4 linked regions of the Arabidopsis thaliana genome follow. The protein of the gene in region 3 interacts with the protein of the main gene of each other region in a biochemical or structural test. Each region holds a gene or a part of one and is shown on either strand. Other genes may lie near its edges.

Evidence for each region.
Region 1: the proteins of HD1 (region 3) and BZR1 form a complex in vitro, tested with the Arabidopsis thaliana proteins (one study listed by BioGRID).
Region 2: the proteins of HD1 (region 3) and SCL1 form a complex in vitro, tested with the Arabidopsis thaliana proteins (one study listed by BioGRID).
Region 4: the proteins of HD1 (region 3) and TPL form a complex in vitro, tested with the Arabidopsis thaliana proteins (one study listed by BioGRID).

The regions. Positions count from the first base shown.
Region 1 is NC_003070.9:28,183,848-28,188,592, reverse strand, and holds BZR1 (Brassinosteroid signaling positive regulator (BZR1) family protein), read right to left. Parts: upstream 3,090-4,745; 5' UTR 2,885-3,089; coding exon 2,618-2,884; intron 2,274-2,617; coding exon 1,530-2,273; 3' UTR 1,448-1,529; exon of another isoform or gene 1,183-1,447; intron 1,147-1,182; exon of another isoform or gene 947-1,146; coding exon of another isoform or gene 626-946; 3' UTR 547-625; downstream 1-546. Other genes in the region: AT1G75090 (DNA glycosylase superfamily protein), read left to right, coding at 185-326, 405-546, 626-946.
Region 2 is NC_003070.9:7,506,719-7,512,341, reverse strand, and holds SCL1 (SCARECROW-like 1), read right to left. Parts: upstream 3,642-5,623; 5' UTR 3,167-3,641; intron 2,632-3,166; 5' UTR 2,622-2,631; coding exon 840-2,621; 3' UTR 541-839; downstream 1-540. Other genes in the region: SWEET1 (Nodulin MtN3 family protein), read left to right, coding at 1-48, 136-312. UniProt on the Arabidopsis thaliana protein: Probable transcription factor involved in plant development.
Region 3 is NC_003075.7:17,895,756-17,901,243, forward strand, and holds HD1 (histone deacetylase 1), read right to left. Parts: upstream 3,755-5,488; 5' UTR 3,549-3,754; intron 3,308-3,548; 5' UTR 3,303-3,307; coding exon 2,775-3,302; intron 2,691-2,774; coding exon 2,250-2,690; intron 2,120-2,249; coding exon 1,889-2,119; intron 1,634-1,888; coding exon 1,563-1,633; intron 1,475-1,562; coding exon 1,417-1,474; intron 989-1,416; coding exon 917-988; coding exon of another isoform or gene 908-916; exon of another isoform or gene 843-907; coding exon 738-842; 3' UTR 523-737; downstream 1-522. Other genes in the region: AT4G38120 (ARM repeat superfamily protein), read right to left, coding at 42-305; AT4G38140 (RING/U-box superfamily protein), read right to left, coding at 4,113-4,550; AT4G38150 (Pentatricopeptide repeat (PPR) superfamily protein), read right to left, coding at 5,456-5,488. UniProt on the Arabidopsis thaliana protein: Responsible for the deacetylation of lysine residues on the N-terminal part of the core histones (H2A, H2B, H3 and H4).
Region 4 is NC_003070.9:5,415,010-5,423,002, forward strand, and holds the start of TPL (Transducin family protein / WD-40 repeat family protein), read right to left. Parts: upstream 6,025-7,993; 5' UTR 5,828-6,024; exon of another isoform or gene 5,565-5,827; 5' UTR 5,530-5,564; exon of another isoform or gene 5,423-5,529; 5' UTR 5,351-5,422; coding exon 5,271-5,350; intron 5,171-5,270; coding exon 4,991-5,170; intron 4,887-4,990; coding exon 4,773-4,886; intron 4,662-4,772; coding exon 4,503-4,661; intron 4,406-4,502; coding exon 4,228-4,405; intron 4,157-4,227; coding exon 4,033-4,156; intron 3,934-4,032; coding exon 3,652-3,933; intron 3,560-3,651; coding exon 3,450-3,559; intron 3,369-3,449; coding exon 3,299-3,368; intron 3,224-3,298; coding exon 3,150-3,223; intron 3,068-3,149; coding exon 2,876-3,067; intron 2,793-2,875; coding exon 2,430-2,792; intron 2,339-2,429; coding exon 2,198-2,338; intron 2,118-2,197; coding exon 2,022-2,117; intron 1,946-2,021; coding exon 1,799-1,945; intron 1,708-1,798; coding exon 1,597-1,707; intron 1,524-1,596; coding exon 1,344-1,523; intron 1,263-1,343; and 10 more. UniProt on the Arabidopsis thaliana protein: Transcriptional corepressor. May repress the expression of root-promoting genes in the top half of the embryo to allow proper differentiation of the shoot pole during the transition stage of embryogenesis. Regulates the expression of PLT1 and PLT2.

The sequences.
Region 1 (4,745 bases), on a different chromosome or scaffold from region 3:
ATACGTTAAAGTTAATAAAGGTTACAATCAGTTTTCATAGATGTCAACAACACATTAATTGCACCTAGCAAAAACTAGGTATTGTAGTTGATAAATAAGGACAAAAAAAAATGTAGAAGATGATTGATGACATTGGATATGTAAGTTTTTCAGTTAATAATAATAATGGTGATTGATCAAACAGACCCGATCTATGTTTTGTTCCACGACGAGGAATGGGGTGTTCCAGTTCGTGATGACAAGAAACTCTTCGAGCTACTTGTCTTCTCACAAGCTTTGGCTGAGTTTAGCTGGCCTTCAATCCTACGCAGAAGAGACGACTTTAGGTAAACTTAGGACGGTGAATTTGCTATTTTGTGTTTTGGTTTGGTGTGATATCAGAAGTTTTGGTTTCTTTTTTGTAGGAAGCTCTTTGAAGAGTTTGATCCTTCAGCTATAGCACAATTCACAGAGAAGAGGTTGATGTCTCTTAGAGTTAATGGGTGTCTAATTCTATCCGAACAGAAACTGCGAGCAATTGTAGAGAACGCGAAATCTGTTCTCAAGGTAGGCACTGTGTGTTTTGCTATGAAATTGTAGATACTATGTGTTTACTGAAATAGCTTTGGTTGTAATCTGAAAACAGGTCAAGCAGGAATTTGGATCGTTCAGTAATTATTGTTGGAGATTTGTGAACCACAAGCCATTAAGAAATGGCTATCGATATGGTCGTCAAGTACCGGTTAAGTCCCCAAAGGCAGAGTACATTAGCAAAGATATGATGCAGAGAGGGTTTCGCTGCGTTGGTCCTACTGTTATGTATTCCTTCTTGCAGGCCTCTGGCATTGTTAATGATCATCTCACAGCTTGTTTCAGATACCAAGAATGTAATGTTGAGACTGAGAGAGAAACAAAAAGCCATGAGACTGAAACCAAACTGGATCTGCATTCTCCATTACTTGTTTGATCAGAAACAGGGATTGGACTATTAAGAAGATGAGTGACCAGTGTTTGTATTCGTTATGGAATGTACCATTTGTAGCTAGCTGTGTTCATTGATTATGCTACTATCCTAGCTAGCTTTGTCTAACTAGATATTTGATGATGTGTTAGTGTTTGACCAAAAGATTGATTGCAGGGAAATAAAGAATTTAACATTTTGTAAAAGCAAATGTTTTTGCAAATTTTGGATCTTGATGCTAAGAGACAGAATCGGCTCAAGAAATGATATATGACTAAGCAATTTGACAAGACACAAGACAGTTTCAAGCCACTAATTAATGTAACATATGTAAGGAAACAGAATCATACATCTTAAGATTTTTTTATCTACAAATAATGCTTTTGAAACCAAATTCATGAATTGAATAACCACTCTAACACTCCAATGCTTCCATGGAGAAGGCTTTGGGCAGCATATTTGGATAATAAGTGAAGAACATATGAGATTCCATAAAGATCCAAATACCTGGACGAAGAAGAAAATACTCAAGAGGATTAGTTTCTCATATTCCAATGACATGCCATTTGGGTTTGCCTAGTTGTTTATGTCAACCACGAGCCTTCCCATTTCCAAGTGTAAGCTCAAGATCCTCCATACCCACATCATGTATCCTCTCTCCTTCCCAGGGTTTAACTTGGCTATTCTCAAATTTAAACTCAGAGCTTTGACCAATCTCTTGGAAGGCAGCAGTATTTGGAGACATCTGCTGAGGCGCAGGTTTCACAAGATTGAAGGTAGGAGAGGTTGGCACCATAGAGGCAGAGAATGGCTGTTGTTGTGCAAACTTCTGAAAGCTTATCCAATGACCAGAATCAACAGTGGAAGAGTCAGACTCATCACATTCAGGTATAGTAGCCGGGGTATGAAACTGGTGGCGATGTGTCGGACTAGCAGGTGCAGAAACCGCATAGAAAGGATAATTAAAAGACGCCATTGATTGTTTAGCAATGGCCATGGATTGCTTAGCGATAGATTCCCAGTTAGGCAACGGTTTCGGGTTCTTAGAAGTCGGCGATGAGACCGGTGGGGTAACTGGACAACTGTTTGAGATTCTGAGGGAAGGAAGAGAAGAAGGAATGCCACCATTTCTGAGGAAAGGGAAGAATGTAGAGGACATGTTGTTATTTGGTTCACCGCGAGAAGGACTCGGGAATGATGAAGAAGACGGGCTAACTTGGTAAGATGGGATGGGACTTTGAAAGGCTGATGAAAGAGGGCTCTGGTTCTGTGATGAATATGGAGTTACTCGAGATGAAGTCCCAGCTATCTCACCAGGTAAAGGCTTGCATCCCTGATACTCCAACAAAAGCAAAACAATAACCAATCAAACATCAATCAATCACAGGTAAGCAAAAGAAACACAATGCAATGACTTTGGACCAAGTATCATACATAAAAGATTAAGACTTTAGCATACCAATAATAACTCTAAAATTAGAAAGAAAACCCATAAATTCACTTTGAGAAATCAGATCCATCCATAGTTTCTGATGATTCAAATTCACTTTGAGAAAACCCTCAAATTCTCAGATTCAAACCCATTTAACCACAATTGAAATCAACGAATTCAGATTCAAACATCAAAAACATCAATAAAACAAGCTCAGATCTGGAAAAAATGGAGAAAGTCTTCACCTTGCGATAAGTAGTACCATCTTCTTCAACAACCCAACCAGCTTCAACACAAAGAGCTTTAAGGACTTCATTATTATCACAATGTTTAGGCAAATTATAATCACCTTGAGCTCTAAGCCCAGTGTATATCTTCGCAGCTACAGCTCTTCTCCGTCTTTCTCTCCTCCGATTATTCTCCCTTTCTCTCCACGACGGCTTCCTCCTCGCCGCTGCTGCCGCCGCCGCAGCTGCAGCTGCTGATGTCGACGTAGCTCCATCCGAAGTCATCGGGAAAACCAACAACCAACCCCTCGAAACTTCCGGAGAGAGCTTTGAATAGGTGGGTGAAAGATTGTGTGAACGTAGACTGATGAAGAAGAAGAAGAGAGGAGTGAGAAGTTAGTGCTCACGAGGAATACGCTTTTCCTTCGCTGGAATCGAAGAAGAAGAATCTCTCTTTCTTCTCCAACAAATAATAATATTTTTTTCATCTAATGTAAAAATTGGGTCGTGTGTGTGTTCAAGTACATTGAGTTCATATTAAGAATCATTGTTCTTGTGTATCGATCGTCCACGTGTAAATACATGGTTTTGGAAGGGTGAGATTACGTGAGGTGAATATAAGAGGTGTATGTTAAGGTGCAGAGGATAACTACGCTTAGTAACGTGTGTTTATGTTCTAATCTTTTTTTTTTTCTGTGAGTATGTAAAATGAGTAATGACCAAATAATACAGAGAAAAGAAAGGAGGAGACACAGTGGGACCGTTTCTTCAGTGTGGGTCCCTTACTTGTGTGACCGAAAAACACACCATTTGATTGGTTTTTAAAATTTTATTTTATACAGTGAAGCCGTGTGATTAACATCATAATGATATATTCAATTAAAAATTATCACTTTTTTCTTGCATACAAATCTCACTTTAGAAACAATTTTGACTACTTTTGTCCTGATTAGTTGTATGTACACTGGCTCTCTCTTTTTTTTACCTTCTTCGTACCTTACAAATGATATAAAGATTGGTGAATACCATTTACTATGTTCTATAAAGTATTTAGTTTGGTTACATGTTGATTTTAAGCTTTAGTATCTAATATCCAAATTTTGGATTAATTGCTGGGTCCATCATTATTTATGTATTCATAACCAAAACTTGTATAGTTCATTGAACATAAAAGGAAAAAGGGGTTTACGAGTTTGTCCCATAACAAGGTTCGGCGGCATATATGATGTATGATCATGTAATATTTTTGGATTATGACGTTTATTTTGTAGAAAGTGCAGGAGCATGTAACTAATGTCTTAAAAGCAGAGGAACCCGAACCATCAACGCGAGTTGGGAAACATTTGGAATGAATCAGAGGGTTCGATGAATTAGGCAAAACTAAAGTAATCGCCGTTGCCGGGGATCGAACCCGGGTCACCCGCGTGACAGGCGGGAATACTTACCACTATACTACAACGACTTTGTTGCTAATCGAGCGATTATGTGTTAATTATTGGTGATACGTTTTAAATCATCAGTTAAATCTTAATACCAGCTTTCGTTTCTAGCATTAAAAGGAATTTAGGGGTTTTCTTCTTTGGTTTGGCACTAGTAACCTACTTGTGATAATAAGTAGATTATGTGTTAAGTATGTTTTTTTTGGAAATATGTTCTGTTTTTCCGATTAACTCCATGTTACCTAGCTAACTCGTTTTGGACAATAAGTACATTACTTTAAACCATCAAACTTACAAAATGCTATGTCTTGAACAAGAAAAAATGTTGGCTTAAGAATCACTCCATGAACATTGTTTTAGTTTAGTTAAATGTTCAATATGGACATTATACGATGACATATTTAATAGAGGCGTGATTTCAAATTCAAATTACATTGGAGAGGAACGAAAACAAATAAACAATAGGGGTATAATCGTAACTTACGCATGCATGGGCCCCATAACTCCTGACTTTTTTTTTATTTTGAAAAAACCCAGTCAACCATTCATATTCACGTCGATCGCGTGTAGACATTACACAAAATTTACGAAGTGTGGCCCTCGTTTTCCTTTTTTGATCATTTTAAAACCCTCTAAAAGCATCAATCTCAGATTCCAATACAAATTAGTACCCAAAATGTTTCATACAAATTAACCAAACGTATCCA
Region 2 (5,623 bases), on a different chromosome or scaffold from region 3:
ACTTCGTGGTTCGTCTATGGTCTAATCGGTCGTGACCCTTTTGTTGCAGTAAGTTACAATTTCTCCTTCTTGTGTTGTTTTCTTTGGTAAATATCAAAACTTTGTTTCTAACTTTGGGTTTTTGTTGTTGCGAAGATCCCAAATGGGTTTGGATGTGCATTAGGGACACTGCAATTGATACTATACTTCATCTACTGTGGAAACAAAGGAGAGAAATCTGCAGATGCTCAGAAAGATGAGAAGTCAGTGGAGATGAAAGATGATGAGAAGAAGCAGAATGTGGTTAATGGAAAGCAAGACCTTCAAGTTTAAAAGAGCTTTTGAGGATGATTTGGTTATGTGATTTCGTATTAACTCTGCTTAACTAGAGTTTTCCTTTTCGTTTCGTTGGAATGTAAAAAAAATGATGCTGAAAAATGTAACGTTTCCTAGTTTCGTACTGATACACTAGTGATTGATGAAGAATGACGATGCCTTTTGTGAGTTTTATGGATCTAATGAGCTTTTGAGTTTAAGAGTTAAAACTGATAAGCCTAATAGTAAGTGAGAACCTTAACAAATTTAACCATTTGAACTGAAATATGAACATGTAAAGACTCATTCACACTTAGCAAATAGGTTTAGAACCAAAACTCTAATTATTTTTATATAATAGGGAAAAAAAAGAAAGAAAAATTCTTCCATAAGTGTTAGATTAGCTTTTAGTACCTGTGATCACCCCTAACCTCTGGTAATAATACATGGAGATGATTTAACCAGTTACACAATAACCCAAGATTACAGTAAAAACATAATTATGTTTTATGAAACATAAAGACTATATGCTCTTGTCACTTATCTTACCTCCAAGCTGAAGCAACGATTAAGCTTTTCTCCTCCCAGCAAAAATGGAGCTCACCCATTTCTTCTTTAAGCTTGTACTTATTGCAATATTGTTGCTTTATCAGGTTTTGTATATTGTTGGTTACTTTAGCACTCATTGGTTTTGGATTGAATCCAGCCATCATCATCCTTGCTCTCCATTTTCCCGCAGCCTCGTATCTCTCTATCCGTTCTTCTCCTTCGCAAGCAACAATGTTGACTATGTCTCTAGCGAGACACTGTCTTTCTACATTCATCCTCTCTTGGCTTTCTCTTGGAAGTGTCATGTCTAGAGACTCGAAAACTGCTGAGTAGTATTCGTAAGCCTCTATGAATCTGGGAAAGAACGGTGAAGTGTTTGTGTTCACGTCTTGTTCAACGACCGTGACAAGCTTTGGGTTTAAGCTTTTGACCATGTGAAGTAGCTCGTCCCGCTGGTTTACTGTTGTGACACTCTCGTCAGGCATGTGGTGAAGTTGGAATGCAAAGTTCACTATTAAGGTTTCTCCTGGTTTGCAACCGAGTGTTGATGGAGAGACAATCGAAGTCTTTGAAGGCATTGCTTTGAATTTGAAGGATACTCCATTATCCTCTGCGAGTTGCTCGAGTCTTAGACCGATGATTCTTAGCCCTCCAATGGAGCGTTGGACTGATTCAGGGTCATCAATTCCTGTTAACCTCAGGCGAGGTCGTTTACCAGGCAACTCAGCAATGCTTCGTATCAGTGTCATGTATTGGTTCCCTTGGTTTATATCGAAATCGATTATGTGAACTTCTTCTTCACCTTTGATTGCTTCAAGTATCGCACCATTAGCTGCTAAAAACCCGAACTTGAAACAAGGGCAGACTTCAAACAGGACTTGCATAGCTGCAAGCCTCTCATCCGAAGGAGGCTCTTTGCATTTCAATGCTCTGTAGATGAATTTTCCTGAAGCGGCCATTCTTGCAGCTAGACCTTCCACCATGTAAGCTGCGATTCTCTGAGAAGGGTCTCCTTGGATAGAAACTATCTGCCTCAGCTCATTTACCATTGACAAAGCTTCTTCTAATTTTCCTTCAGATAGCGCACGAGCACAAGATATCAAGATTTGCTTTGGAGTGGCTTGAGACACCACTTCTTTGCTACTTACATGAGAGTTGGAATCTGCAGACGATGATTCTTTGGGCGAGTCTTGATGCTGTTCGCTTTCGTTTTGGTACGACCATTCGCTGTCAATCTCCATGAGGTTATCTATTCCAACCATTTTATCATCTTCATCGCCGAGAAGCGCTCTTTCAAGCTCTTGAATCTTTGATCTCATTTGCTCATCATCAAACTCCTCCACTACATCCATGCTCGGACTGTAAGAAACCGCTTGGTAATCTCCCAAAAGCCTTGTAGATGAAGTAGAGGTTGAATCCAACGGTAACTGAAATTCCATGGAACATCCAAGAACTGGTCTTGACTGATAAGGAAATGAGTCTAAAGAGCCAAATGAGCTAACCGAGGCACCAGAGCCAATAGGATGTTGAACAAACTCATCAGTTGGCGAATCAAGAAAGTACTTCTCATAACTTTGGCTTGGGTAAGAATCATCAGTCAGACAAGGATTCTTTGACCTATCTGGATCAAAGATTTGAGCAGAACTGACACCATTGTTATTACCATTCTCATTCAACGTGTAAAGCTTCGGGTTCCTATATGAGGATGGCTCTGCAGACCTCACTAATGACATGACTCTCGCTTTGATATGTTCTCTAACCACAGTTTGTTCCACCATTCAGCTGCAACTACAACGTTCCCAAATGTCAAAATCTTATCAATGTCACACACAGAAAAACCTCAAGCACTGTGATTCTAACAAAAGCTTATTAAATCATGCAAAGCTTCAAGAGATCATTCCTAAAGTTTAAGCCTTTTGTTACTAATTCATCATAGATAAAGCAAGTTTGAAACTTTATGATCCAAATCTCAGAGCTGATTCTCCAAAGCAAAGACTATCATCAAAAATCCATTGAGAATTGAAAAAAAAAATTATGTAACTCTCACCAAATCAATTGAAAAAAACTCTTCCTCTGATACCTACCAAATCTATGCAATTCTCAATACCATAACCAGTTAACCAATAAATCTCTTCCATAGTCCCAATTCAGAACAATCAGAGCACTAAGATCTATTTCTTAATAGCAAATTGACTGGTTTAAACAGCTTACATAAGGATTAAAGTCCAGAGTAAAGCAAAACAACATAATCAAACAAGTATCTAAAGCTTAGAGAAAAGACTAAAGGACCAGGAAACAAAAATTGGTTGATGAAGTCAATTACCAGGAGAGATTAGAGGAAAAGGGTCGGTCTTGGATTATGGAGGTTGTCCAAATGAAGAAATTGACAAGAAGAAATCTGATATAAACGTCGGAAAAAAGCCTTAAAGGAAGAAACAAAGCCTAAAGGTTTGACCTTTGGGGTCTTACTGTTTACACAGAAGAAGACAGAAATGATAAAAACGCTTTGGCTTTGGGTTCTGATTTTTCTGGTTTTATTCTGTGTCTTGTGGTCTTTGTTTAAAGATGTGTTTACTCTTTAAAGATTCATACTTTTAAAGACTCGTGTGGTGTTAGGTTTTACTTGAACCAAAAAAAATTCAAAAACAAAAAAAATGAAGATTGTTTTCTGAAGAAGAACGAACAAAAAAAAATGATATGAAGAGAATTTTGATTGTTTTCTGAAGAATACCAATATCTTATTGTTTAGGGTAAATTGCTTACAAGACTTTGTAAAAGTCTTTGAATTTTTCTCTAGCTCTACTGTTCCAGAAGGTAACTGAAATTAGTGATTTATATCTCACTTGGAAAAGAATACTACTGTATATAATTAGCAGTTCCGTGTCCGATTTGGTTTTGATCAATTTCTGTTGACCAATTAAATTGTTACTCGGTTTTTTTTTGGTAGTATTGATTTATTGTTTTTTTTTTTTTTGTTTTGTTAGTGCAAAGTAATATTTGTCTTATGATATTTATTTTGGAGTAATAAGAGGAAAAACACAAACCGTTAATAAGAGGAAAAACACAAACCGTTGGATATTCCTGAAAATTATATGACGGAAGCGATCGTGGGGTGACGAAGGTGCCTACGACAGTACGCACTAATTGACATTTGGTCTAAATAAATATTCACGATTTCATGCTGTTAGTGCAGCTTAACGTGTTGATTCTTATGAAATATTCAAAGCTACTTTGTCAACTTGAGAAAGTATAATTTATCAACAAAAAAAAAAAAAAAACTTGAGAAAGTACTTTATGTTTTACCAGAAATTTTCTGTTGTATTATCGTTATCTTACTTATCTTCTTTACTGTTTTTGTTTTTTTATTATACTAATCCAAAACAAAACTTCAAGGATATTTTTTTTTTGACAAATTATGATTCATAAAAATCGACAATTTTTTTTTATTTCTTAACATCATTTGTTTATTAGGTCCGGTTTAATTAGATTGATTACAATTCTTATTCAACTGTGAATCCACAACAGCAATTCTACGTTAAACACTGATCCTAACTTGAATATCTTTAAAATATGTTATTTAGCAATAGCTTAAGTTAGTGAGTTACACACTATTGGGCGATAATTTATAATTACAAGTTTCCGAAGTTTAGTGGGACATATAAAGTCTCCAAATAAAATGATTGTTTACCGCATAAGTAATGATCATTAAGCAATATGTAAAGAATCTAATCTCAATTTGTTTATTTTATTTAAGAATTTTTTTGTATTTTATTTAAAATATGATGAAGAATGAGGATACTAAACATTTGACGCAGAGTCTTTATCAACCTTATCCTCGCAATACCCACATAGGACTTCTTCTCTTTCTCAATCTTATCCACTACGTAACTTCTGATTTTATTTGTTACAATACAATTTTCATTTTATTTGTAGTACACATATGGATTATCCCACGCACAATATTATATATTCAACCATTATACAGAACTTAATTTTCCAAAGGAAAAGTGCAAATCTCATTGACTAAGGTGCTTTCGTATGCTATAATGTTACCATATTGGAATTCAAATGGAAGTTTCTTTAAACAAATGATGTTACTAGCTAGTTGGTTGTTGTTTCTTTTGTTCTTTTGACGAATTATTAAAGTGTGAATAGAATAATGTTCTGCAGAACAACAGCCTTCTTTGGAATTCAAGATTATTTGAAATGAAAGCTTGTTAAAAATGCAATTACGTTTTTCTGAGATTACATTTTCGTTTTTGTTTTGGTACAAATGCAATTCTCTAACCTCATAAATATGAACTCTGAAAATTTATACGAGTCAAATTGCTGATCATATATATATGCTTACGGGTACATATGTAAATTACAGTTACTTCTCCATGATTTATGAATTAAGAAAAGATTTTCACTAGGAAGTGGGATGTTTGGTTCTAAACGCATGCAAAATCCGGCTGCGCCATGGAATTTTGTTTTGGATTCATATTTATTAGTCTCCGACAGCATGTCCCATGATTTCAAAAGCTCTAATAATTTAGTCATTACTTATTAGTATCAAATATTAATATTCATATAAGGATAAAATGTCTTAAGGACAAAATCTATATTTCACTAATATTGCACTAGATAACTTAATTTAAAAACAAAAGATTGAAATCCCCGTGTTGTCTACATAGATTTCTTCTATGATCTAATTTATTCTACTAGTATTGTTTCGTCTTAACTCTCAAGGTATCACGGATGGGAATATATCTTAGGACAGGGAATAAAAAAAGAAGAA
Region 3 (5,488 bases):
ATAACAAGGAAATGATGGGAGGAGAGAAGGAGAAGACGCACCAGTTGACAAGTATGACGAGAGACAGGGATCCAGTCAGGACCATCAGCTTTGGAAACCAAATCGAGCAGGAACAAGCAATCGGAAGTGAGCTCGTGCAGTGGGAGGTGAGAGACGGCAGAGATAAGGGAATGGGATTGAGAGAAGAGTAGATCCTCGAGCAACAGAGGAACCGGCGGCGGTGGAGTGGTTGAGATTTCGTCCCTGAGAGAGAGAAACGCCGTCCGCCACCTTCCCACGCTTGACGAAGCTGCCGCCGTGAACATGTTTCAGTCTCCCGGGAAAAAACTAAGCAATCAAAAACGAGAACGACGAGAGACAGACAGAGAGACGCTTAATAGTCTTAAAGGGATTTACATTTTTTTAATTTAGAGTTAGAAATCAATTGTGTTACAGGAAAACATCTTCTCCACCCACTTCACTAGTTGATGATGTTCATTGCTGCGTTTAGCACATCAATTCTTTATTTTTTTGGGGTGGGCAGACGCAGATCTCTTCGGCCCAATCAATAAATATATAGCAAAAGGAATAGCTCGTCTTGTCATATCATATCATCATTCAGACATGCAACGAATAAATACATATCCGTGCTCAATCCTCTAAAACAGAGGAGTGCTTACAACAACAACAACTCCAGAAACTTAACTAGCAACATTTGATAGACAGAAAAAGTAGCAAGAAATTAGAAGCTCCGAGTCTTATGTTTTAGGAGGAAACGCCTGCTCCGCCCCACCCTTGTTTGTTCCTTCCTCTTCCATTTTCACACTTGCTTCCTCCACTCCCACTGGGTTTACTCCTGTAACCTGCAATCAAAACTAACCACTTTAGAAAACCACCATTCCCACCCTTTTCAGCCCTGTCCACTGCTTCATTTTACCTTAGTGCTTCCACTCTCATCCACCTCCACCTCACAACCTTTTCCACGCTCCATAATTCCTTTCAGTCCATCCTGCACGAACAACATGCCATGATAAATAAATTAATCTCGGAAGAAAAGGAGACGGCTTTAGGAATTGAGAGGCAGAGATGATTCAGCTCAGCTTGGCTAGACGGTCACACTATCTAATCAGGTCAATTGTTGGAGCTGGGAGCATACTAAATAAATAGCCTAGGCTAAATGATTTAACCGTAGCTAAAGATTCGCTACCCTCATGTGAATGTATCTCCAGCTTAAACTAACTGACTTAATGTCAGAATGAGACTCATTCTGGAATCTTTAGGTTTTGGGTCTCGGGATGAGAAAAAGTGTAATGTTATCAGAGCACATTGTGCTGTTCTGGAAAATGCTGTAAACCTAGATGAACTAATGACTTCAAATGTTTGTACCAGAAAAAGTGTCTGAGAAATCGAAACAATTAAGAGATAATGCTGTAGTACCTTGTCCTTTGTATCTGGTTCAACAGCTTCTCTTTTTACTCTGCTTGGTATAGGTTTACTGCACAATGCGATCCCACATTAAGTAAACATTACACCGCTGACTCGAACCAAAAATAAAAAGGGGAGGAAACATATATATTTCATACCGGTCATCATCAACATCCATGTCTGAATCCGGATCCCATCTTTTATCCCCATCTTCTTGGTCTTCATCAACCTATAATTTACATAGAAGGCATATTTTACAAAACTAAGATTGGTAACAACCAGAGTCATCAATCAAGGAATACTTATACATATCTAACTGGACGAACATTATTTACCAGCCCAGCTGTTTAAATTAGAAAATTCTTATTGTAACTGCAGTTACACTTAGATAAGCTCACCAAAACCCATGAGGAAATGCAAGAAAGAATGGGCAACAGAAATAAAGGAGCCAACACACTTCAAATGATTTGCTCAAGTGGCATACCTCGGGAGTCTCTGTATCAGGTGGTCTTTCCTGAAATGGTACACTTGGAGCATGCTGAAGCTTAGAGAGATTGTGGAGAAGGTCATTGCGAATCTCTTCAAGCATCTGACGAGAATTCTTATTTTCCATGTTACTTGGAGCAACGTGAAGTGTATAGTCTGGACCAAAGTATTCATAATATTCATGCTCCGGCATCTTGTCTTCAACTTCAACTCCAAGTGCAACTCCAGTCTGTCATATAAACAGTTTGTTGTAATAAATTCAAAGAAAGAGAGGCGTCACAGAGGGCTAACCTTGGTACAGAGACCAAGGAAATTTCAATGCAAAGCTAGAGCAGCATAAAATGAACAGAAGAAAGTACCTCGTAGCACCAGCAACGGGCAACATTGCGGATAGTGTAACCACCACCACCCAAGAGCAGTAGGGGAACATTGAACGATCTCATAAATTTGACGCACTCAGCATGACCTTTGATTGAAAGATTAAAGCACCCCAACCTATCACCAGACAATGAATCAGCACCACATTGCAATACCACAGCCCCTGGTCGGAAAATTTCCATAACTTTCCCCATGATGGGCTTGAATAACAGATGATAGCTCTCATCATCGATTCCATCATCCAGTGGTACATTGAGAGAATAGTACTTTCCGCTACCATAACCTATATCCTGAATGTGACCTGTACCGGGAAAGTAATCACCAAATTTATGAAACGAGACAGTCATAACCCTGTCAGTAGCATAAAATGCCTCCTCCACTCCATCCCCGTGGTGGATATCAATATCGACATAAAGAACACGCTGCAAACGAGAGAGGAAGAGTTAGAGATTCAGAAACGACATAACCATCCCTAGCATATATCAAAACGGTGCAGGTGGACAAACCTCATGCTGCTTAAGGAGCTCTAGGATAGCTAAGACGATATCATTGACGTAACAGAAGCCAGAGGCCTCGCACTTCTTAGCGTGATGGAGACCACCAGCCCAGTTGATGGCAATATCGCAGAGGCCGTGGTTAAGCTTGACAGAGCCACCAACAGATCCTCCAGCATAGGTCTGGCAAAAGGAATAAAGGCCGTCAAAGACGGGACAGTCTTCACCAACATTGAAGCGCTTAAGTTGGCGAATCTGATCTTGCTGGGTTTCAGGGGTAATGCTGCGGAGAAAAGAGACATAGTCGTCGGCGTGGAAGCGGCAGAGATCACGGTCGCGGGCAGGGAAGGGCTTGAGAACCTGCATATGCTGAAGGAGACCGTAGTGAGCGAGGAGGGCATGGGTCATGCGGATGCGATGGGGCTTCATGGGATGACCTTGGCCATAGTAGTAATTGCCGACCTCAGGGTCATAGAAATAACAAACTTTCCTCTTCACACCATCAGGTCCGGACGCCAGCGAATTGCCGCCAGTATCCATTACCTCTGCACGCACGCCGATCCATAAAAATTATATTATTAAAAAATGATAACTAAACCCTAGCCGCGGAGTAGCTGAGCCATGGACGCGTTTGAATGACAACAACAACATTTTTTTAAGTTACGAAAAAATCAAATCTAGTGTGCAGAAGAGACAGGAAGGCGAGTGAAAGATATTAAAAGACGGCGAGGCTAGACAGACGCCGGAAAATGGAATCACGCAGACAAGGAAGAGAGTCTGACTGACCTTTTTCGTAGGATCAACGGTGTGTTGTAATCACAGTCGCAGTCAAATGGTCGGAGGAGAAGCTGCGATGATCTCTCTCTCTCTCTCTGGCTTTCTTCTTCCTTCCTCCTCGCCGAGGGGAAGGGAGCTGCTCTCTGCTTTGCTTTCAGATTTTCTTTCACCTCTGACTGAAACTGTAGCCTACTTACTCTTCTCTTCCAACTTTTTCTACTTTCAGTTTATAATGGAAAGGCCCACTTTTAATCTGTTATGGTTTAAAATGAGGCCCACTTTTAATGTGTTTTAAAAATAAGGCCTATTAAGTTGCCTTTAGCCCGTTTACTTAATGGTCTTACGCAGAGTAACAAATCAATTAGGAAACAGAGCACTAGAGCAGCAGTAGGCACTAGGCAAGGCTGGTAAAACTAAACTCGTGCTGCTTTTGTCTCTGTTTAGTACAGTATATCATAAAACTGAGTAATCCACAAAATCTTGATTGAAAAGGAGATGGAGACAATATGTGCTTGGAAACTAAGACAAAATACATGTTAAATAAAGAATGGGTGTGTTAACAAGGAAGCTAGGCTACAAGTATCCAAGTAGATGGAGAAAGATACAGAAAAAGAAGAAGATAGAGAGATACAAGGTGGAAGAGGAGTGTGCATTATTGACATTTTGTGTAGGAGGAGTTGGAGCCAATACAAATGATCTGCAGAGAGGGCAAGTGAGGTGGCCACGGAGAAGCCAAGGTTCTATGCAATTGATATGGAAGAGATGAGCGCATCTGGGAAGATGGGTCACCGCATCCTCAGCCTCAAACTCCACCAGGCATATGGGGCAGCAAATTTCCTCCTCCTTTTCCTTGTCCCCAAACATCACTCCCACTAGGTTGTAACCGTCATCATCATGCGCATCCGCATCTCCACCATTCTTCTTCAACCTCCCCAAGGGAATGCACACACATGTGTAGAATACTATGGCTGCTGTGCACAAAGGCGACCGCGGAAACAACATTGAAATCATCTTTCTCCAGCTTTCTGCTTCTTTACCTCATTCCTTCCCTCTCTTTTATAGACTAATATCATCGAGTAGGGACGGCGCCGACCCCACCTCCCATCTCTTATTATATTCTTTTGTTGTTTTTCTTTAATCAAGTCAGCGATTCTCCCAACTCCAAGAAAACTCTTGGAGAGGTTATGGTCAACATACGAGATGCACATGCTTCCATCTTAAGCACTACCTGATACTTGCATTTAACAATAGTAAACAATACAAGAATCACATGACGCCAAAAGTAAACAAACAAAAGATGGCATTCATATCCAGTGTATTATTTATATATATATTAAAAGTAAGGAGTCATTCTTCCATCAAGACAGGCCTTGACTTCCGAGTTCACGAATATAATACAGCCGACCAAATCAAGTAAAGATCTCCGAGTGAATCATAAAAACTATTTTAATGTTGACTCCACGCATTTTGTATTCAATATAGCGCCAGCTTCTACAGAACAGACCTCCACGTCCCTGAGATCAGCAGTGCCTTTGGAGGATGATGTAGTTTTATGCCTGGTGTATGTAACCAATGATACTATTGTTCATATTTGTTCATGAAGTCGGCCACATTTGCAATAGACAGTCACATACATCATTGGTAATGACTGATAAGCGTCAAGCATAATTTGACACCCTATACCGCCAACACAACGCTATTCATTGAACTTGCAATCAATATTAGAATGCATGAAAACAGGGAACTACATCTACAACTACACATTTTTAAAGGACATAGGAAAAAAAAAAAAACTCGATACCTGACTCCAAGCAGAAAAAGGAAGACTCATATTGATTTTCACTTTCAAGGTTGTTATTACAAGTCAAGAAAACATCTTACTGAGACGGCATACTTAACAGCACTGCGTAAGTAAATCAGAAGGGTTTCTCGGTTGGTTTCTTCTTGAA
Region 4 (7,993 bases), on a different chromosome or scaffold from region 3:
TACCAAAAAAATAAGAAAGAAAAGACTTTTAAATAGAAGAAAGGGAATCAGAGAGGTAGGTGGCTCTCGGATCAGATCATCTCTGAGGCTGATCAGATGCAGAGGCTCCAACGGAAGGTGCAGTTGGTGCACCGCTAGCCGACCCGTTCTCAGCCGGTGGAGCGACTCCCCATTTACCTTCAGACTCGAGCGGTTCGAATATGTGCACTCCCCCGTCTGAGAGACCAACTGCAAACATGTTTGGTTCTTGCGGATGTGCAGCAATCACTAGTGGATGTACGTTTGAATTGCTGCACAAGTCAACAAGAGGAGCTTTATGATATATAAACAACTAACCGATTGATGTTTAGAAACGTTCTTTCCGAAATTTAAAGATTCCTCTGTTTTTTTGGGTAAATTTCAAGATTCCTCTGTTTACCTGAGACTAGCTGGTAGATACGCAGAAGGGTTGACCCGGCAACGCAGCCGTAGATTTGCAGAGCTAAATACACAAACTGTTGCATCCATAAAACTCGCGTAGACCAATTGGCTATCGCATGAGAATGTGGCATGAGTGATTGGAGCTAATGATTCTCGAACAGCCCACTGAAACATTGCAATCATTAATCATCTTTCAAATGCAATAAATTGCAGATCTTAGAGAGAGCGGCCTATAAATATAAAATACCTGTTTCATGCATTCGAGCTTGGTAGTTTCGTATATAGCAAGTTGCGTCTCGTGCACAACGAGGAAGTGAGCTTGATCTTGATGGAACTGAACACGCGTATCTGAAGGTGCACTGTTTGGTCTTCCCTGTGGAAGTGGCAAAACCTTGCTTCTCTGCTTTTCCCATCCATCTGTGTTCCAAACACAAAGCTGAAACAAAAACATTTCAAAGACTATTGATCTTTTCTTCATCGATTCTCAAAAAAAAAAAAAAAAATGGTCTAAGGCGGGAACCTGTGCATCTGCTCCAGACGAAACCAACACGTTTAATACGTTGGAGAAGGCAAGACCAGTTATTCTCTTTGAATGACCTTTAAGCTTACTCTTCACCTGCAGGAGCAAACAAGGAACATGATGGCCATCATATTAACAAACAAAACACTTCATCTTCTTTTCTACATTCTTCTCTTGAGTTTTGATGCATTACCTCATCAACACGGACATTATAAATCTGAATCGTGCTATCATCCATCCCAATAGCGATGATATTGTTGTCTTGAGGATGAAAAGCAAGAAAAGTAGCAGCCGGTGGTGGGGGCATGAAAGTCGCCATTGTCTGCAAATTATTAGCCAAGAACAGTCAGTCAAATTGCATACACAGAACATCAAAAGATCAGCATCTATGTGTCCCCATTACCTTAAACGTCATCATGTTAAATAAGGATATCTTTCCTCCGGAGGCTGACATTACATATGAATCATTCTTGGATAAAGCAAAACAAGGTACAGCTTCCTCGGGATTGGTTTCAGCAACATCGTTAGTCATGAGGATCCCACTAGCTGGTTGCCACTGCTGAGGCGGTAAAGAAGCTGTCGCCTACACGGAAAATCGAGATGTAGAGATCAGTGACACTTATCATTATTTGACTAAGAAAGAGTCTCAATTTCACCTTTCCAGTTGCGTTGCGCTCATTCCGCTGCCATTTCCATAGAAGATGAATTGCGTTTGATGCCAGAGCCAAAATAGCATTTCCCGAATTCGTGAAAATCAATCTTGATATCTGCCAAAAGTCATTGGTTTTATTGTCAGAAAAAAGAACAGCTATATATATATACCCTATACATGGCTCAGAAAATGTATATTTTATATACCTTGGCTACTCTCAGATTCTCAGGGAGTCTCAGTGACCTGCATTGAGAAGGCTCGCTGACTTCAGTAAGCTTCCATATCTTAGACTTATCATTTGATTCTTCTGTGATCACTGGCTTCACATCCACCATATTCCGCGAATCTCCATTCTAAAAAGGCAAGTGATGAATAATAGAAAGATAAAATAAAGTGAGTGAAAGAACAAAAAAGAATTGTATTTCTTACCATTCCTTGGATGGAAACTACATTGGCTGATCGATCTGCGTGACCAGCACTTGTTGCAGCAGCTGCCGCTGCCGCTGCTATGCTGTTTATTGCAGGCTGCAAATGTAGAATGAAGTGTTGACTAAATCTTTCAATTGGGTGTAAGTAATTTAAAGCTTAGCTTAGATTTTAAGTACCTTGGAGGATTCAGATGATATGTTCTCAAAAGTGTGCAATAGCCTTAGACCATCTGAGTTTGCCATAATCTTGATCACATTCTCGTTGCCAGACACGGCCAGGAGAGAGCCTTCCTTGTTGAACCGGATACGCGGGCTTGCCTAGTTTAAATATATTAGAAGCGCAAGTTAAGAAGAAACTCCAAAAGAATATCTGAAAACTTTTCTAGTTAGGCATTTTTTGTTCATGTACCTGGAGGCCTCCATCGCCATCAATGGCAGTTAAAAGCTGTACAGCGTCCATATCCCAGAACTTGATGGAGAAATCATCACCCGCAGCTAGATAACGGTTTTTAGTTGTATCAAACTGCACAACACCTAGAGAACGCTTGTGGAATCCTTGATAAGTTCTTTTAACAGCTCCTTCGCTTTCATTCCACTCAACAATGAAAGACTCTCCATCTTTACTCGTCCCACAAGAGAATAGCCTAGTACCATCGGCACTATAAGCCATTGTAGTACACCAGCGACCAGGTGCATCATAGTCAACTCGGGAACCCATATTATCATACAACCAAGCCTTAATTTTCCCATCAAGAGCTGTTGAAAATATGAACTTGATGACAGGAAAAATACAACACATCAAAAAACTGAAACATTTAATAGAAGGGAGGGAGATCAACGGTTAGCTAAGCTTACCTGAATGTTTTCCTTGTAATGAGGACAAACGGAATAAACAGGAGCTTCATGGCCTTCAAAAGTATGCCTTTTGACACCTGTTGCAGCGTCCCAAACCTTGATGGTTTTGTCATCACCACAAGTTATTACACATAGTTGCTTGTTTGGAGTCGAGAAGGAAATATCATTCACACCACCAACATGAGCATCAATCTGAAATAATCACAATATTACAAGAAAATCCCCAAGGGAAAAAACGATTGTTAAAGAGAGAGGCTTGTGAATGGTACGAGACCTCAAGGTGTTGCCTCATGTCTTCACCTCCGTGATAAGAGTATAGTTGTACAATATGTCTCGAGTAAGCAACTCCTGCAATTCAGAACGTTTGGTGACTTATAAAGTTGCATTCATGTGCAGATATAAATTTAAAGGCGAGTTCTTTACCAAACAAGGAACCGTCAGGGCTCCATATCACACGGTTGACAGAAACGACAGGTTCTTTCACCAGAGCAGCCTGAAGATACAACTAATTCAGTCACTGTAGATTCATAACATATATAAAAGTTAACATTTTGTTGTTGCTATGCATAGGCACCTGCAAGGGCATTGAACATTTACTCAAATCCCAGACTTTGAACGTCTTCTGTACTAATCTTTCGCGAGAACCAACTTCCCACAGCCCGATATCACCTACATTTGTACCAACTGGTACAACAATTCAAACGAATTTAGAAAATTGCTGATGATTATTATTATTATTATTACACAGAAGCACATACAGAGAGCAAGAAACACACCTAGAAGCAGGGTCTGTTTAATTGGATGGAAATCCATGCTCATGGGAGATGAGCCCTGACTCAAAGTTCTCGCAACTGTCTTGGGCAAGTCGTCAGGTGCTTTGAAAGCCGGAGAATGACCATGGGCCTGCCCTGAAAATGACATCGGTAACATGTTCACGCCTAGATTCACCTCGTCAGAGATTCCCATTGGTCTTGTTCTTTTTGAGACATGTTCAGAATCTGCTGACGGGTAGTCTAAAGAAGCATTAGTTGGAGGAGTTCTCGGGTGCTTCAACGCCGCTATACCAAAGATAGGAAAGGAGTTCCATTGTAAGCAAATTGCATAGATCACACAAAGTGTGTCTGAAGAAACATACACATTTGATAAGCAAGTAGTACCTGGGATTGATGGACCACCAAGTGCAATGGCTCCTGCTGAGACAGCTGGATGTGGGACAGAGGATGGACTAGACATCCAACCAGCAAGAGGTGTTGGAACAGGTGACGCCGTTGGTTGAAATGGCTGGAAACATAGAGACAATCAAACACTTGGCCTCAGGAAAACATAAATAAAAATGATAGAAACTAAATTACCCCGTGTGCGCCTAAAGGAGGAAATCCTCCAGCCTTTGGTATCCCTCCAAGCAGTGGATTGTTCACAGGAGATGGAGCTCGTGCGCCATTTGGAGGGCCACAAGAGTGATCCACAAAAAGAGTCTTGATATCTGGATTTGGCCTTGGATTTTTACAAAGCTGGTGTTGCCAATTTAAGCTGCGAGTTATGCAGTAACAAAAGATAGAATGAATTAATATGCCAACAACAACTTGAAGTGAATAAGACAAAAAGATTAAGGGACAAAGCAATAAACCTCTGGTTGATCAAAGTCCTCAGCCTTGAATTTCTAAGAGTAGGGAACTGCAATTTATCACGGAATAAAGGATTCGCCTCAATCAGCTTTTTGAGTTCCACCAACATGATCGCTCTTGCAGACTTGGTGTCCCCATACTTGGATAACTGTTCATTCTCCCTAAAAGTTGATCAAACTCGAAACACTTAATACTCTGCATCAATCTTTCTTTTGAACTACGGCTAAGAAAACAAAGGCTTTGGACACTACATTAATCCAATATAACATTACCGGAAGTTCTCCAATGTCAAGAGCTGTGTTATTTCCTTGAAAAGCTCCTCATTAAAAGTTGAAAACACTTTCAAATCCTTCACTAGTATATCCACAGCCTTGGGACGATCATGCCTACCAACAAAAAAGTCACCAAGGTCAATCACAAATCAGACTCTTTTTCTTTTGCTATCTCACTGAAAGGAAAAAAAAAAAACAAATCCCCAACCATGACTTACTTATCCAAAGCCTCGAGATACTTCTGCTTTCTTATCTCGAAGAATATCTTCATAGAGTATCTATTATCATCTACTTTAGTGAAACCAGAGAGATACTTCTCAACCTCATCCCAATTTCCATTGTGAACCTCATCCTCAAAATACTTCATATTGAAGAAAAACCCAGATTCTTGTTCAAGCCTGAACATGACAAAGCAATAATGCATTAACCAACACAAGAGCTAAACAGGTCAGTTGGTAAATTAGATCCAAGGAAATCTACAGAGCAAAAGAGACATACTTGTGAACAGTCTCTTTAAACTTCTCTTCATCGAGAAACTGTAAGATCAAGAAAACGAGCTCTCTACTAAGAGAAGACATGTTTTCTCTCACTTCCTTAAAAGACTTTTTTCTAACTCAGATGCACAACAACTAACCAAACTATCACCAGATCTGCAATATAAACAATGGCCGAAATGAGCTCAAATCTGAGTTTCCAGATTATGGAAATTAAAAAACACGAAAAGAGAAGTTAGAAATGAAAGCTAAAAACTTGGAACCTATATCTGAATAATTATCCAGAAACTTCGCATCTCTGCAGATAACGGCAAAAAAAAGAGGAAATTTAGGTCTTCCTGGAATTGGAAGATGTGAATTTAATAGCTTAAAAAAAGAATCTTTTTTTACTACATGAAAAAAGCAAATTAATTATCAGAAAGGGGGATGAAAAAATAAAGCAAAACCCAGAAAAAAGTTTGGGCAAAAGGATAAAAAAATATATACAATAAAACTCGAAACAGCTAGATTCCATTAACAGAGGCAACAAAGGTAGAAGAAAGAAGCGTGAAGCTTACTCACCATAAAGAGAGAGAGATCGATGAAGAAGAAGAAGAAGACCACAGAGACGAAAGAGGTGATGGATTGATTTTTGGACTCTTTTTCTCTCTATCGAAAAAAGGAAACTTGAAAGAAAGCAAAACTAAATTAAAAAGCTTCTTCTTCTCTCTCTCTCTCTCTCTCTCTATCTAGAGAAAAAGGGATTTTCTCTCTCTTCGAGATATATATACGGACATTAAAACTTGCAGAAATGGAGATTTTAATAAGAGAAGGTGACAGATAATTGGATGCTGATAAAATAAGTTAGCTATCACTCTAAGAAAAGCTAACTGCGATAAGCAGGAATGATAAGTAGAACTGCTTATAACTACGACTTGATCGGCTACATTTCTCGACGTTATCGGCTCGGAATATTAGTTGCCAGCTGTACTCCACAGAGGTGTGATCCACTCCTTCGCGATGAGTTTTACACCTATCTGGAAAACCGTCGATTTTGTCAGATGGCGCGGAGGACGGAGATCTAACGGCTAGAGTTTCATTCAATGTGTCAGACTTGTCTCCAGATCCCTCGTGGCACGACAAAGCTTTTTATATTGAGTCATTGCCCTCAAGTTTGACTAATATTTACGGATATGACATTGAAGAGCCAATTGCTCTTGAGATGCGTTAACTCATCGAACATCACGTGATGGAGAAATGTTCAACTCGTAAAGATGCTACGTCGTCTTTCTTCTCGGCGAGATACGAAATATGATTTATAAACTCGGTTTATCACGATTTATACGATATGGCTGATGTTCCTCATATAAAAAAAACAAGAACAAAACTAATACTACTAAATATTTCAATATTATAGTATTGTTTGAACATTTCTTGGTCCAACATGTTGCTGAACATTATCATTATTCTTTGATAATATTATTCTTTATTTTTAACTTTTTCATTAGAGGTTAATTTAGTGCATGATTGGTTGTGAAAAATGTAAACGTAAGGATGTGGATAGTAGTTCCTATTAATTCTTTGTATACACAAGAACCACTTGCATTGACTATTATTGTTAAGATGTTCGTGATAATTTATACTTTAGTTTTGTTTGTTTATAGATAGATTGCTACTAGGAGCAGGTGGATCGGAATTAGCTGGATTCTTTCCGTTTAAATAATAGCAGGGGAAGGAAGTACAAGATACTATAGCTTAGAAGTAATAATAACGCAAGGATTAATTGTAAATGAAACCGAATGTGTATTGTTGAAGTTATAAATAACATTTTTAAAATATATTAGAGGGGTGAAGATATCGATGGAGGATGGGCAATAAATGAGAGTTTGTGTAATTTAGAGTCGCACGTTTGAGTAATTTGACATCTATCCCGTCCAAACACAAACACTGTTGTCTCACCATCACCACACGTAAAGCGATAACATTTTCAAGTACAAACATAAATATGTAATCGTGATTTACGATTTATTTAATTTAGCGTGTGTGTCTATCTATTTTTAGTTTTTTTTCTTACAGTAGTTGTCCACTACGACTAGTCTACTACTAACCATCACGAATCGCGAGGTCATAAATCATAATAATAATTAAAAAAACGATATACAAGTACTGAAATTCTTTAATACGAGCAAAGCATAATATTTTAAGTTTATAACCAGTTTTTTTTTATTTTACTAAAGTGTAATATCATAACTGAGGTAGGTTGGATAAACTAATGAAACGAAGCGTTCAAACCATTTAAGAAACATGATAAGTATTAAAAATAAATTATACTATTAGAAATATCTTATATATCTTTAAATGTTAAAAATATTTTATTTATAAAAAATGATAGGTGTGAAGAATATATTTTTATATATTTTTAAAAAACTGGATACGTGTTAAAAATAATTTAGAAAGCAAACTGTACTTTGTTAAAAGCTTTAATCAAACAATATATATTGAAAAGAATCGTTATGAGCGCAACACAAATATATTCTAAACAAATTGATTGTAGTCTAATGATTAAGTTAGAATGATATCAAGAAAAAGAAAAAAGTTAGAATAATAGAGATTTTGTCATATAGATATCACAGTTAGAATAAAAATCCCATCAAATACAAATCTACACTCTTACTTTTATTTTTGATAGAAAAATTCTATGTATTTTACAAATTTCGGAGAATTTGCTCGTATTAAAGAAAATAATGC